Linked DNA regions of Caenorhabditis elegans. The protein of the gene in region 1 purifies or fractionates together with the protein of each later gene. This does not show direct contact. Each region holds a gene or a part of one and is shown in the gene's direction. Other genes may lie near its edges. The genes, in order: pygl-1 and W04C9.6.

Region 1 (8,556 bases):
CCGCCGTACTTGTATCATTTCACATATTAGGCGGTTACTGTATTCTGCTCAAGACCCCACCGCAAATGGCATCTTATCGATGGCCATTGTTTAATTTACATTTTTGGTGAGTTCTACAAAATTGAAAAAACTGTTTTTTTTTAAATTTCGCTCTAGGACATGTTTCGTGGATATTCTGCTCGGTGCGCTTGTGACCCCCTATTTATTTTTTTCCGGCTCTGGCTTGGTTCACAGTTGGGCTATTGAGCCTGCTGGGGGTGCCTGATTCTGTTCAAGTTGGCCTAGCATCCGTGTTTGTGTACTGTGAGCGACGAAAAGAAACAGCGAAATGTTCGCTTTTTTTTTTCTAAAAAAGGCAAAAAAATTGAGGATAGGCCGCGCTGCACACGAAAATGCAATCGCGCTCTAACGTCAAAGCTCCGCTCCTACAAGTTGGGTCTCGTTAGGTATCGGCGGTAAAACCGTAGTTTCAAAAAATTTCAACTATTTTCGTCGATTTCCAAACATGGTGTCAAGATGTTCCATAGCGACTTGATCTACAAAAAATAAGGGAAATTTTTCCACAGAAAAATTACCTCATCACACTCTAAACCATGCGAATTCAATTAAGAAATGTGCGTCTAAATTACCGAAGCGATTATTTTTTATTTCATAAAACTGTTCAGCATAATCAAATATACCAGAAAATACCAAACAACATACTCTAGCTTGTACGGAAGTTTATTTTAAAAAATTTCAAAACTTAACCAAAAGCTGTTATATTCAAAAATTCAAAAGTACGGTAAAATGGTATGGAGTCATTCTTTTTTATTTCATAAAACTGTTCAGCATAACTAAGTATACCAGAAAATACTAAACAACATGTTGTTAATTAAAAAAGACATTTTTTAGCAGTTTTTCTTCAGATTTTATTACGGACACACTAAATCCTGAGAATGCGTATTGCGCAACACATTTGACGCGCAAAATATCTCGTAGCGAAAACTACAGTAACTCTTTAAATGACTACTGTAATGCTTGTGTCGATTTACGGGTTTGATTGTGTCATCACTGTCACTGTTCGAAAATAAAATCATTTCGAAAATCGAGCCCGTAAATCGACACAAGCGCTACAGTAGTCATTCGAAGGATTACTGTAGTTTTCGCTACGAAATATTTTGCGCGTCAATTGTGCTGCGCAATACGCATTCTCAGGATGTAGTGTTCCAGAAATATCTAAAATATAAATTTATTTAAAAAAATAAATTTTTAGCAGTAAAATTGAATTTTTTTAATTGTATTAAACATTTTAATAATATTTTATTATTGAACTAGAGGTTGTTTCATGAAATAATTTGAAATAATTTTTTTTTTCAATTTTTTCGAAAAAAGGTAATTATTTTTGAATTTCTGACGATAATTTAGCGATTTCTGGCTTGAATCACCTTTTTCTTTCAAATTTTCAGACTTTTTTTCCGGAAAAAAAGTAAAATCATCGATTTTTACGCCAAATTTTTTTTTCTAGTGGTATTTTTTTTCTAGTGGTATCAATTTTCCTTCACGCAAAAAATATCTGAAAATTAGATGAACGGTGTTTTAAGTGTTTTAAATCGAAAAATCAAAACAAAAACAATTAATTTTGACAGAAAATGGGAAAAAGTCAAAACGTTTCATTTATTTGCGCAGGAATTCGAAATTAATTCATCCACTTTTCTTATATACTTGCAAAATTCTTTTTAAAAAATCATTAAAAAATTGAGATAAAAAGTTTTTTTTCAACAGTTATATTATGTTGTTACGGCCAATTTTCTATGCTTTGAAGCAAGTTTTCAATATAATTTGTTCTAAATTTGATCTTAAATGAATTTTCTTTAAAATAATCTGCAATTTTTAGGAAAAACTGTTTTTCAAGCAAGAAAAACTAAATTATTTATTTATTTTTAATTAAATTTAAATTCAAATCCGCTACGGCGAGTACGGTGCGCATCGGTGTTTGCGTACTCGCCTACCGTACCCTCGGTGTTGTTGGCGCGAAAATTTTGTTTTCCAATTTTCAATCATGGCGCCAATTTCTGCATTTTCGGTGCAATAAACCACTTGTTTTCGTCAATTTTTTGATTGTCTTCTCCAAATTTTTATCAGTCATTCTTCACTGTTCACCTTCGTAGCCGCCGGTGACACCGAAAATGTCGGATATTGCTGCTCGTTTTGGATTCTTCAACTGGAACAACGTGCGCCCGGTAAGTAATTCGCTGATTATTTCATGCTATCAAGCTTCTTCTTCATCATCTGCTTCATCTGCTTCATCTCTTCATAAGCCAGAAAATCATAAGAAAAAAAACAGCGAGCAGGCAGGGATTTAAGTGAGTGTGTGCGTGCAAAATGGGGAAACGGCCGGCTGAATCTTGCCGAAAAACACGTACGCTTCACTTCAGGCTTCTCCTTTTCGCTTCTCGCCGGCACACACACACACACACACACATGTCAGTCTACTTTTCCCGCCACTTTTCTTCAGCCCATCCTCTTCCTCTTCTATAGGACTTCGGCTCCCAGCTCTCGTTTCACTGGTCATTTCATTTCATAAGCGACGGTGAAAATTGGAATCTATCGAACCTATACGCCTCAAGAATCGTTCACCTTGCCCCCTCCAGCTCGTCGCGTTGTTTGTGCGGTGATTGGTCCTCACTGTACATATACAGTGTTCAAAAAACGGAAAAATACCCGTTTTGTTGTTCTGCTGCACCGCCCGTCTTCTCATTGATATCATAACAGGAGGCGGTGATGATAAGAAAGTCGGGAAATTAATATTAAAGCTTCTAGAAACAGATTTTTCCTCGCCAAAAAAAAAATAAAAAATCTCTTGATTTCTTGGTTTTTCAATTTTTCAATCTTCAATCTCGTCATCTTCTCGACAAAAAATTTGAATCTCCGCCTGCTTCTCTCTCTCTCTGTTTCCCTATCAGTGTCCGTCGGGGTCACACACAACATGTATTTTTCTCTACATCTCTGCTTCTCCCAGAGTTGTTTTCCTCTCCTCACATTTTACACACACGCTCACAAACCCCTTCGCATCCTCTCCCCATCCATTTTTTTTAGATGGCTCGGGCCTCTATGCTCTTTTTTCGATTCCACATAAGCGTGGCAGCTCCCCGAAAGTTTTCGGAACTTTTTTTCAAATTTTCTCAATTTCCAATGGCATCGATCATTCACGTGCACACACTCGTCTCAGTTGAAAAAGAATTGATAAATCGGCAGTGACAAGAATTGTTTATCAAACACAAAGCGGCCATGTCTACCGATAGTCTTTTCCATATTCGAACAGATTTCCGCAAGATTTTAATTAATTAATTCGAGTTGACAGCACAATCTTTGAAGATTCGGTTTTGCGACAATTAAATGCTTTTCTTTGACAAAATCATAAGTAGAAAAGCTTTAAAGTTCAAGCTTCAGGCTAAACAAAAAAGGCTGTGAGCAAAGAACAAAGTCTTCCGTAGCCCAGAAGAAAGTGCCCCTCACTTTCATTAATTTTTTTTTCGATTTTCTTGGGCCGACCGGGTGATAAAAATACACCGAAATATCCTGTCGTCGTCTACTGATTGTTGTTTTATTATCACTTACGCGTTATCAGTTTATCGGTAGTTTTCTGCATGTTGACTGACCGCCGACACGGTCAACACTGATATTATTCGACGTTTTAGCCTGATCAGTTTGAAGCGATGCATTTCACTCCTCAATGATCAGCGAAAATATTTTTTCTTCGATTTTTTTTTTGGTTCAAGGAGGAATGCTTGCTTGTATAGGATCAAAACTTCGCAGAAAATTACTAATTTTAGCTAAGATCCCCAGTTTTGCCAGCTTTTCCGTGTCGCAGTGCTCAGAGACTAACTTTTATTTGATTATCATCTTTTATTGCATATTTTCATCACTTATTTCGTTGATTGAGGCATTTTTGGTCCCTTATCGGCTTAAATGCACCTAGATCAATGAAAAAACGTTGGATAAATGCCCAATAAATGATGTTAATCAAATAAAAGCTAGTTTCTGCGAACTGCGACACGGAAAAGTTCGCAAAACTAAAGGTTTTTGCGGAAATTTGCGATTTTTTTGAAAAATATAGCAAATCCACGTGGCTTTCATACTTTTTTCAAAAATCTTTCATCTTGGAAATCACGGGGCCGGCCCCTGCTATCAATATTGATTGTTGACTGATCACTGAACTGCCCCCCTCCTGTTGACTTTGTACTGCGTCGACTACTATCTCGCAACACATTTTGTTTTCTGGCCTGACTCGCCATTGCCTGCAGTGTTCGAAATTTTTGTTTGTCCACCATTCTTATCACAGTAGCCGAACAAGTTATAATTTTCACCACTTTCCGCTCATTTTTTCTCCCAAAAAAACCAATTTCCAATTTTCAGCAGCCCGTGGTTGCCGAATCGACTGCCTCATCGTCGAGTCCGAAGCTGTTCAGCATGATCACCAACGATCACGATCGTCGCAAGCAGATCTCCGTGCGCGGAATCGCTCAAGTGGAGAACGTGTCGAACATCAAGAAGGCGTTCAATCGCCACCTTCACTTCTCGATCATCAAGGATCGTAACGTGGCCACCGATCGCGACTACTACTTCGCGCTCGCCAACACTGTCCGCGATCATCTCGTGTCTCGCTGGATACGAACTCAACAACACTACTATGACAAGGATCCGAAGCGGGTCTACTATCTGTCGTTGGAGTTCTACATGGGGCGAACGCTGTCGAACACAATGATGAACCTCGGAATTCAGGCGACCGTCGACGAGGCGCTCTACCAGCTCGGTCTAGACATTGAGGAGCTTCAGGAGATCGAAGAGGACGCCGGGCTCGGAAACGGAGGACTCGGACGTCTCGCCGCGTGTTTCCTCGACTCGATGGCCACGCTGGGTATTCCGGCTTACGGATACGGGCTTCGCTACGAGTACGGAATCTTCAAGCAACTTATTCGTGACGGATGGCAGATTGAGGAGCCAGACGATTGGCTTCGCTTCGGAAATCCATGGGAGAAGGCTCGTCCAGAGTACATGCTTCCGGTCAACTTTTATGGAAAAGTTGTGAAGGAGGATGTGAGTTTTGATTTTTTGGAGAAAATTAAATTTAAAAAAATAAAAAAGGAATGGGCCGAACTGGGGATTGAACCCGGGACCTCTCGCACCCAAAGCGAGAATCATACCACTAGACCATTCGGCCATGTTTGGAAATCGTGTTTGGAAGCAATCAAGATGCACAATAATCGATAATTGGCTGATTGCGAGAAATAATAAGATTCGATATCTCTTCATCACCAGCTTTCACGTATCTAATCGTGGCCGAATGGTCTAGTGGTATGATTCTCGCTTTGGGTGCGAGAGGTCCCGGGTTCAATCCCCGGTTCGGCCCATTCCTTTTTTCTTTTTTTCGCTTACTTTTTTTATTTTTCATTAAAAAATATATTATTTCAGGGAAAATCGAAATGGATCGACACTCAAGTTGTGTTTGCCATGCCATACGACACACCAGTCCCCGGATACAAGAACAACATCGTCAACACGCTTCGTTTGTGGTCCGCCAAAGCCGAAAATCATTTCCACCTCAAGTTCTTCAACGACGGAGACTACGTGCAGGCTGTGATGGATCGTAACTTGTCCGAGAACATCACTCGTGTCCTCTACCCGAATGACAACGTATGTTTGAGCTAGATTTTGGCAGAAAAAAAAAATCAATTTCCCCACATTTTCAGATGTTCCTCGGAAAGGAGCTCCGTCTCAAGCAGCAATACTTCCTCGTCGCCGCCACCCTCCAGGACATCATCCGCCGCTTCAAGTCCTCCATCTACGGAAACCGCGAGGCCGTCCGTGTCAACTTCGAGACCTTCCCGGATAAGGTGGCCATCCAGCTCAACGACACTCATCCATCGATCGGAATTCCCGAGTTGATCCGTCTCCTCATCGACGTCGAGGGACTCACCTGGGATCAGGCCTGGGACATTTGCATCAAGACCTACGCCTACACCAATCACACCTTGCTCCCAGAGGCCCTCGAGCGCTGGCCAGTGTCGCTTATGCAGAATTTGTTGCCGCGTCATTTGGAGATCATCTACGAGATCAATCAGAAGTTCATGAACACCATCTCGCAGAGATTCCCAGGAGATTTCGACCGTATGCGTCGTATGTCGATTGTCGAGGAGGCCGATCAGTTCGGCGAGAAGCGCATCAATATGGCTCATTTGTGCATTGTGGCTTCTCATGCCATTAATGGAGTCGCGGCTCTTCACTCGGATCTTCTCAAGAGCTCCACGTAAGCGAAAATGCTCTGAAACCTGGCGCTAGAACCAATGGGCGACGCATCATTTTGCAGCTCCGCCGCACGAATTTATTTTGGCTGTTTTTCGCATGATGTTTTGAAAGATTTCGATATGTGAACTCGATAAAATCACGAAAAATTGATAATTTGTCATTGAAAATTCGGACAGAAAGAGAAAAAACATCGTGCGGCGGTGTTGCTAAATCGCGCGCCGCAAATTGCAATCCCGGCCCGCCCAATTTTTCTTACGCGCAAATTGCAAAATTACCATTTTAAAAAATTAATATCATCCATTTCCAGCTTCCGTGACTTCTATGAGTTCTACCCGGATCGCTTCCAAAACAAGACGAACGGAATCACACCACGCCGCTGGCTTCTTCTCTCCAACCCATCTCTCGCCGACCTCATCGTCGAGAAGATCGGCGAGTCGTGGATCACCAATCTCGACGAGCTTCAGAAGCTCAAGGAGTACGCCAACGATGCCGGGTTCCTCGATTCGATTCGTCGTGTGAAGCTCGAGAACAAGCAACAAGTCGCCCAGTATTTGAGCGACGAGTACAATGTCAACGTGAACGCCGCTTCGTTGTTCGATGTGCATGTGAAGAGAATCCACGAGTACAAGAGACAGCTTCTCAATATTCTCCACGTCATTGCTCTCTACAATCGTATCAAGGAGAACCCGAACATCGATATGGTTAAGCGTACCGTGTTGTACGGAGGAAAAGCTGCTCCAGGATACCATATGGCTAAGCAGATCATTCGTTTGATCACCGCCGTCGCCGAACAAGTCAACAATGATGCCATCGTTGGTGATCGTTTGAAGGTCATCTTCCTCGAGAACTACCGTGTCTCGATGGCTGAAAAGATCATTCCAGCTTCTGATCTCTCTGAACAGATCTCGACCGCCGGAACCGAGGCTTCAGGAACCGGAAACATGAAGTTCATGTTGAACGGAGCTCTCACAATCGGAACTCTCGACGGAGCCAACGTTGAGATGGCCGAGGAGATGGGCGACGAGAACATCTTCATCTTCGGAATGAACGTCGAGGAGGTTGAGGCGCTCACAAAGCGCGGATACTCTTCGCAGGAGTTCATCGACAAGAGCCCAATGCTCAAGCAGATCATCGAGCAAATCGAAGGTGGCATGTTCACTCCAGAAGATCCAGATCAGCTCAAGGATCTCTCCAACATGCTCCGCTATCATGATCGTTTCATGGTGTGCGCCGATTTCGACGCTTTCATTGAAGCCCAGGATAAGGTAAAACTCAAAAAATTCAACTAATTCAAATTTTTACTGATCAAAATAAATTATTTTCAGGTCTCCGCTACATTCCGCGACCAAGAGAAGTGGTCTCGCATGGCCCTCTACAACATCGCCTCGACCGGAAAGTTCTCAACAGATCGCACAATCACCGAATACGCTCGTGAAATCTGGGGAATCGACCAGTTCGAGAGCTCTCTTCCAGCACCATATGAGAATGAGAAGAGCGAATAATTCTTCTATGCACTAACATTGTAATTAATTATCGCCATAACTTCCCCTCCTCTCCGTCCCATTTAGTTTATAGCATTTTTATAGAAGCCTTTCCCTCCCCCGATAATTCTTGTGAATCTTCAAGATCAAATTGATTTTGTCCTCTCTGCCCCCAGTCCAATAATCGTACTTCCCCCGAATGTGTTGCCATACTTTGAGATTGTCTATTTGCACGTCTGCCCTGCATATTTATGATAAATTGACTGAAAATATCAACTTTTTTTTTTTAATTTTGACTCGAATCTGCAAATGCTGAAATTTAATTAAAAATTATGGCTGTCTGAAGGATCTTCAAAGAAGTTTCGATACCTCTACGACCAGCTCGTTAGCAAAATACCAAACTCCTTTTCGATGAGTTTTCAAAATTCCTGGATAAATATCCTGAACTTTCTACATCAGAAGACCATTCGCAACGTAAAATTATTGATTCCAGGAAGTTGAAGTTCAGATCCACGACAATCAGACTATGATTCACAACTTTAACAAAACATTAGCAATTTCATTTTTAATAACAACAGTTTATTCAGAAAATAGAAAAACTTAACGACGACGGAAGAAGTTCTTCTTGACCTTTGGCTTTGGTGGCAGAATGATTCCATCGTACTTTTGCTGGAACCATTTGATTGTCTCCTCCTTATCGACACGGTGGGATGGTCCAATGCGTCCTGGTGCACGTCTGCGCTTGGAAACTCGAACTCCGTTGCGGTTCAGAACGACGTAGAAGTCCATT
Region 2 (7,354 bases), on another chromosome or scaffold:
CCCAAGGACTGTGGAGCGTAGTTGCAAAAAATCATTAAAAATTTTTTTTTGCAACTGCGCTCCACTGTACTTGGGTCTCGTAACGTTAGTTTTTGGCGGGAATTCAAAATTTTTTGCAGTTTTCTATATTTTTACACACTGAAAATTAGAATTCCAGCGAAAATGACACTCGGCTTCAATTTTCATTTTTCGTGGCCTAAAATTAACTCGGCCACCAATCAATCGAACCTCGTAAAAAACGAAAAATCGCCAAATTGCGAAGTAAAATTCGCGAATTTGAAAGTTCCATCATGCAGGCAGGCGAACAGTAGGCACGCCAAAAAATCGATCGACGCCAGAATGAGTCCCCATGAGAAACGGGAAGCCACCGTCGAATTCATGGCAAAAAAAAGCAGGGAGAAGAAGTTGCGATGAATTGAGTTGGGCAGGCAGTGTGAGCTTATCAGTGAATTGATAATCAGTGGAGAAAATTGATCAACGATGGGAACTGATAAAATAATATAATGCACCGTCCGTTTAAAGTCAAAAATTGCAAATTTTTTCATAGAGCACACACACAAATACTTCTAGAAAATGAGGAGGGAAAAAGTACATTCTAACGAAGGAATACACGAGGATTCGGGGGGAAAATCGATAAATCGATAATTTTTATGGGGAATTTATTTATTATTGATGAGTCGATTGGCCACTGTGTTCACGCTTGATGGGACGTTCTCGATTGTGGTGAATACCTGAAAAAAATTGAGTTTGAAATTGTTGGAAATGCGCTCCACTGCACTAGCTTGGGTCTCGCAGCGAAATCGCGTAAATTTGAAATTCCGGTGAAAAAAAACGGCAATTTCAGGTATTTTCTATGCTTTTTGAGTGGGAACTTGGAGAAAAGTGCGATAGAGCGCGTTTGCATTATTTTCGGATAATGTTTGAATTTCCTACAATATTTCTGGTCTCGCAGCGAAATCGTCGGAATTTTGCTAATGTCTGTAATTTTCTACGCGAAATTTTGAAAAAAAAGTGCCATGGAGTGTGCTTGCATTTTTTTTAAAAACAATTTCAGAATTTTCTCTGAATTTTGGACTAAAAATTGCGTTTTGCATTATCTTTCCTACAAAACCAGAAGTTTAAGACTTTTCGAGTCAGAAATTGGAAAAAAGTGCGATGGAGCGTACTTGCATTTGGTTAATTTTTGACGTGGAATTTTTTTTGAATTTCGCTTTTTGTGAAAAAAAGTGTTTTGCATTATTTTCAGCAATTTTCTCCAAAATTTGTGTCTTTTTGTCATATTTTTCCTAGTTTTAGGCACTTTTTTCGACGTTTAGCTCTGAAATTTGACTAAAAATGACTGAAAATTTATATTTTTCAATTTTTCAGATAGATTTTTGAAATTATGGAATTTCTTGAACGTTCGGCGCCAAATCTCCATTTTCCAGGACTTTTTTCCAACTTTCGCAGCAATTTTTCCGTGTTTCCTCTCAAAAATGCAGCCTACCGAGTCAACAGCACTGTTCCACTTTCCACCGGCCTTCAGCTGCACATCTTCGACTGTTGGGAGCTGAAAATAAGAAAAAAATTGCATTTTCAGAGAAAAAATCGATAAAACCTGCTCTGGAAAGACGACGGTGCCGGGAAGAATGTACTTTTTAAGCTTTTGATACAGTTCGCTGCCCTGAAAATGAAAATTTTCGTGGAAAAACGGGGGAAAACTAATACTTTAACATTGTTAGTCGACCAAATATCGTTATCGATTGACAGTTTGACGGCGCCGGCGACGAGTCCAACTTTAATTCCGAGTTTTGCAGTTTTCCACAAGAATCCCATGTTGCCGACCTGAAAATTCGAATATTTTGTGTGAAAAATCAGTTATTTTGCAACAAGACGTGAAAAATAAATAAAAAATCACAAATTCAAGAAGAAAAGTTCAGAAAAACTGAAAAAAAATCGGAAAAATAAAATGAACGTCGCGCGCACGAGAAATGCGCAAGCAAATCGAGACTCGCGTCAGAGCACGAGAAACGCGCCAGCCTCGTCTGCGTTTCTCTTCTCACAATGCTCTCTCTCACTGAAATAAGCTTATAAGCTTAAAAGTCTGCAAATCTTTAATTTGGCGAGGGATAATCGAAAATTTAAGCTCACAGATGCCTAGAAAATTAAATTTTAAGTAGATTATATTAAAATTTCATAAAAATAATGATAATTAACGGTATTTATTAAAGTTTTAGATTTCATCAAATTTTCAGACTATACTATAGTCTTGCAATTTTCAAAGAATTTTTCCTGCAAAAAACAAGTACAAAGCATTGATCAAATTAACACTATCAAGTTGACAGTGTCAACGTTTAATCCCCCAGCAGTATTTCCCTTAAATTGATCACTGCACTTTTCGTTATCACCACGAGCATCATAAATTTTTTTACTTATTTAAAATTCCGGTTTCTGATGCACCATGGTCAACTCGCCGGTTCCTGTCCGATTTCTGGTACTTTTTGAACTCAAAACCCCCGGAAAATTGAATTTTCACGATTTTTTTGCAGATTTTAATATGTGCCACACTGTGTTTGACCTCGATTCTTTCAAATATGAATACTTATAATTTTACAAAAATTTGTATGCAAGATGATAATAGTACTTCAACTTCAAAAGGTTTTTTTTTTAATTCGGTGGCCGAGTTTTTCCATTGGCGGCCGCCAAAATAGTTGATTTTTTCAGTGAACTATACCAAATCAGAGTCGAATTTTCTTCAATCGTGTGTGGCTATTGGAAGTCTTGCCGCCTCGATTCCATTTTCCATTTCTTTTCAACATTTGCCGCATAAACCTGTCTTCATTGTCGCCGGAATTATTTCGGGAGGTATGACGTCAATCGTGGCCGCGAAAAAAAAAAATATCGGTGGCCGAGTTTTCTGTAGTTTTTATTTGTTTCGAGAAAACTGACTAATTTCTATAGACTAATTTTATAAAAACTGTGCATTTTGTCGTCAGATCCAGTGCATGCGTATTTTCAAAGCTACAGTACCCCAAAAAGCATGCATCGAAAGCATACAAAATTTTTGAAATTGATCGTCAAATATGGTGTATTGCACAGTGGGCGTTGAATTTGACGCGCAAAACAATAATCTGATTTTTCGAAACAAAAACATGGTGCATGAAGCACAAAAAATTGTGAAAAATTCCGCGTAAGCACGTGGTGTCAGGCTGTCCCATCACGGTTTGATCTACAAAAAATGCGGGAATTATTTGCCCGAAAATATGTGACGTCAGCACGTTCTTAACCATACGAAATCAGTTGAGAACTCTGCGTCTCTTCTCCCGCATTTTTTGTAGATCTACGTAGATCAAGCCTAAATGAGACACTCTGATACCACGTGCGTAAAATACTGAATTAAGTATTTAAGAATCATATTTTACGCGCAAAATAAAACAGATTTCACGAATTTTTCTGAAATTAAAAAAAAATTATCGATTTTTCAAAAATTATTGACATTTATTGTCCGAGAGGAGTACACCAAGCATCATTAGAGCGCGTTTCCATTTTTTAAATTTTAAAATTGCGCGTCAAATATGATGTATTGCACTCAATTTTTCCAGTTTCAACAGCCCTTATCCCGTTGGCAAGTACCATTGGCTACGGATGGTTTGTGGCCGCCCGTATTTGTCAAGGAATGGCATTTTCAGCCACATTTCCCCTCGCTGGCTCAATTACAGCAAATTGGGCGACCCCATACGAGCACGGAGTATTCATTGGCCTATTAACCGGAAATACACAACTTTCAAATATATTTACAATGCCAGTTTCGGGATGGTTATGCTCTTCGTCTGGTGGATGGACGTCGGTTTACTATGTGCACGCCGGTGTATCGTTGGTCACTTTTTCGCTGTTTTTCCTATTTTTCAAGTGCTCGCCGAGTGAGCACAGTTGGGTTGGCGAGAAGGAATTGGAGAGGATTCGAGAAGGGAAATCGGGAAAGAAAGTGAGTGCAAACGCGCTCTACCGGACACAAATTATAACTAGATTTTGGAGCGGAAAAAAACCTGAAATTGTACCACGTATCATTTTTGAGAAAAACGCGCCCGAAGGACTACGGAAAGCCCAAGCCTAAGCGCACGTGGTGCCTGGCTGTGCTATTACGGTTTGATCTACCAAAAATGCGGGAATTTTTGCCCCAAAAAATGTGACGTCAGCACACTCTTAACCATGCGAAATCAGTAGAAAACTCTGCGGCTCTTCCCCCGCATTTTTTGTAGATCTACGTAGATCAAGCCGAAATGAGGCACTCTGACACCACGTGTAAGCCTAAGCCTAAGCCTAGGCCTACGCCTAAGCCTATGCCTTAGCCTATGCCTAAACCTAGGACTGAATTAGTGGGTTCCTCGGGGTACGCAATTTGTCGACAATTAAGACGTTCCCTCATTAGTATGAGAAAATCCCAAATTTTTCTAAAACTGCTAGCAAGGTAAATGGGTTTCATGTACGCAAATTTGCTTCAACTTCAAGATTTTTTACATGAGAGTAACCGAGTTTTCAAAACCTCGGCCACCACATCGCATTGCATGGCCTAACTTTTCACGGGCTTCGAATTTCCCCCATGTTTTCAAATGGAAGAGGTGGCCGTGAAAAAAGCGAACCTCGACCGGGGGTCGCGACCTGCGACAAACAGGAAAACTCAAAAAAAGTAGCGACAGTACGAAATTTCTTTGAGTTTTCCCGTTTGTCGCGAGTCGCGACCCCCGGTCGAGGTTAGCTTTATTCACGGCCACCTCTTCCATTTGAAAACATGGGGGGGGAAATTCGAAGCCCGTTACTTTTTCGTTTTGCAGGTATCCCGGCCAAAAAATCTTCCATTCCGTCATATTCTGACAAGTTTAAGCCTGTGGGCTTGTTGGATCGCATCGTTTGGAGATTTGATAACAGTTCAATTGGTATCCCAATTCAATCCGCAATATATGAAAAATTATTTGAACTATGACGTACTTTCGTCCGGTTTTTTGGCCGCCTTACCCATTATTTTTCAATTTTTTACGAAATTATCGTCGGGAATTATTAGTGATTATATTAAGTGAGTTTTTCGGGGGTTTTTCCTGGAAAAATAATTTTATAATTGTGAAAAAAATCAGTGGCCGAGTTTTTCCTCTCTACGGCCACCAAAAATCAATATTCCAGATTCATCTCAGAAACTCTGAAAACTAAAATTTTCAACACAATCGCTCTGGCCGTGGCCGCCGTTTTTTTCATCGTTCTAGCATTTATTCCACAGGAAAAACACTTGCTGGCTATTATTATAATGGTGAGTGGGTGGTGGTGGTGGCCTAGATAGGAAAACTCTTCCAGTGGGACAAGTGCGCTCAATTGATAATCCACGTTGAAAATAACCGATTATCAACATAGCGCACATACATCCATGGCCTAGTTTTCCTATTCTCTTCCATCATTCCAGATTTGCGCCGAAAGTGTGATGGGGTGCAATACGGCGGGATTCAACAAGTGTGCCACGTTGCACTCCCAGCAGTACGCCTATTTCGCAATGCAGCAGGTAAGGGGGTGGCCGAGAAAATTTTTAGGCCAACGATTTCTCTTCCAGATCATGAACATCTGGGCTTGCACGATATTCATCGAACCGTTTTTCGTCAATATGATTGTTACTGATGATACGTGAGTTTTTAGGGTATTCATGTAGGCACGCAGGCATGAGGAATGCAGGCAGGCATAGGTAAACTTAAAGGCAGGCATGTAGGTATATACGGTCTAGAAAAAAAAACACGGTAAGCGTAGGTCACTTTGGAGGCAGGCAGGAAGGCATAGGCATAGATAACCTATGTGAGCTGGACCGGCGTAGATTCCCTAAAAGACTATCGAAAAGGCAGATAGCATTAAAAGCAGGTAGATAGGCACAGGGTACATTGGGGTAGACGTAGATAGCATGTAGGCTGACCTAGGCCACCTTGAAAGCAGGCAGTTGACCTACATAGTTTGTAAGGTAGGCATAGGCCTAGAAGGCACTGACAAAAATGCAGGCAAACCAGCATAGGTCTCACTTGAAGGTAGTCAAGTAGGTAGGCAAAGGTCCCCTGCAAGGCAGACGTAGGCAGGCAGGCGTAGGTCCCCTAAAAGACAAGATTATTTTTTTCAGATTCACAGACTGGCGTAATTGTTTCCTGGCGCATGCGGGCTTACTTCTCTTCGTAAATACTATATTCTGCCTGTTTGCCGACGCCTCGCCAGCAAAATGGACCAGATTACAAGATGATGACGTGGCAATTGAGGAGGAAAAAGAAGAATATTCTGGAAGTATTGAAGATATTATTAAGTTGTAAAAGTTGTACACTACTGTATAAATTGTAAAAGTGTTCCGAAGATTTTCGGCGCCCCAATAAAATTGAATGGCTTCTAGCTGAAGCTTACCTCCTCCCTATGAAATTTATGAAAAAAAATTTGCGGACATTTTTCTATTATTATTATTACGTAAATGCCCCAATTTCTACCACAAATTCTTATAGTTTTGCAGTTTTTTGTAAAAAATTCGGAATTTTGTATTGGTGGGAGCAAGTGTCAGAGCTCCATGTGCTATTCGTGAGTTTTTTTAAAATCTTGTCTAGAAAATACTGTAATTAACATAGAAATAGGGCATTTGAAACATGGCCTAGGAAAAACTATTGGTGGCCGAGTTTTTTTCCGTAGCTGTGAAAAGTGAAAAACGAAAAACCTCGGCCACCATTCAACTTTTTGGAGCATTTTTACAATTTGGAAAATTTAAATTTTGGTGGAATTTTCTAGGCCACGCAGTAGAATTCTAGGCCACTTGACGAATTCTGGATTAAAAATTGATTATAATTTTGATTTTGCAAAAATTGAGAAAAAAAAACCAGAAAAATAATTTTTAATTTTAAAATTTACTATCAATTGAGTTGTTTTTTTTAATTTTCGAAATGAGCAAATTTTCAAAAGCCTTGATTTTTCCTAGGCCACACTTGAGAATTCTCGGCCATCATAAAAATTTCAATCTTTTAGGCAGTGGTTGATATGATTTTTTTCACGGCTTTTAAAATAGGTTTTTATCCGTATAAATCCTTTATTTTGTAATCAAAACCACCAAAAAATATTTTTTTGAATTTTCTAGGCCACGCAGGAGAATTCTCGGCCACGTGGCACATTCCCAGCCATTCAATTCTGTAGAAATAATTAAAATTAAACTTTAACTCAAGATTAAAAAAAAGAAATTAGGCCATTTACGGAGCGTAGCGTGTCGCGTCGCGGCTCGGTTTTCAGTTGAAAACTAAATGTATTTGTCCGTGGGGAGTACACCACTTTTCCACGCGTCGTCCGGCAGGCGATTATCATCGGAGCGCGAAAAGTGCAATGAGGA

The links.
Region 2: the proteins of pygl-1 (region 1) and W04C9.6 fractionate together in Caenorhabditis elegans (co-fractionation; one large-scale study listed by BioGRID). This does not show direct contact.

The regions. Positions count from the first base shown.
Region 1 is NC_003283.11:3,577,003-3,585,558, forward strand, and holds pygl-1 (Alpha-1,4 glucan phosphorylase), read left to right. Parts: upstream 1-2,139; 5' UTR 2,140-2,165; coding exon 2,166-2,219; intron 2,220-4,384; exon of another isoform or gene 4,385-4,395; coding exon 4,396-5,076; intron 5,077-5,128; exon of another isoform or gene 5,129-5,200; intron 5,201-5,317; exon of another isoform or gene 5,318-5,389; intron 5,390-5,451; coding exon 5,452-5,673; intron 5,674-5,729; coding exon 5,730-6,286; intron 6,287-6,592; coding exon 6,593-7,550; intron 7,551-7,610; coding exon 7,611-7,787; 3' UTR 7,788-8,040; downstream 8,041-8,556. Other genes in the region: rpl-11.1 (Large ribosomal subunit protein uL5A), read right to left, coding at 8,367-8,556.
Region 2 is NC_003279.8:483,077-490,430, reverse strand, and holds W04C9.6 (MFS domain-containing protein), read left to right. Parts: upstream 1-2,038; 5' UTR 2,039-2,440; coding exon 2,441-2,473; intron 2,474-2,528; coding exon 2,529-2,637; intron 2,638-2,703; coding exon 2,704-2,844; intron 2,845-3,581; coding exon 3,582-3,964; intron 3,965-4,811; coding exon 4,812-5,050; intron 5,051-5,154; coding exon 5,155-5,278; intron 5,279-5,428; coding exon 5,429-5,524; intron 5,525-5,572; coding exon 5,573-5,643; intron 5,644-6,121; coding exon 6,122-6,305; 3' UTR 6,306-6,392; downstream 6,393-7,354. Other genes in the region: haf-4 (ABC-type antigen peptide transporter), read right to left, coding at 229-380; W04C9.2 (MICOS complex subunit MIC13), read right to left, coding at 660-731, 1,487-1,549, 1,598-1,663, 1,708-1,815; W04C9.9 (Zinc finger protein), read left to right, coding at 6,551-6,561.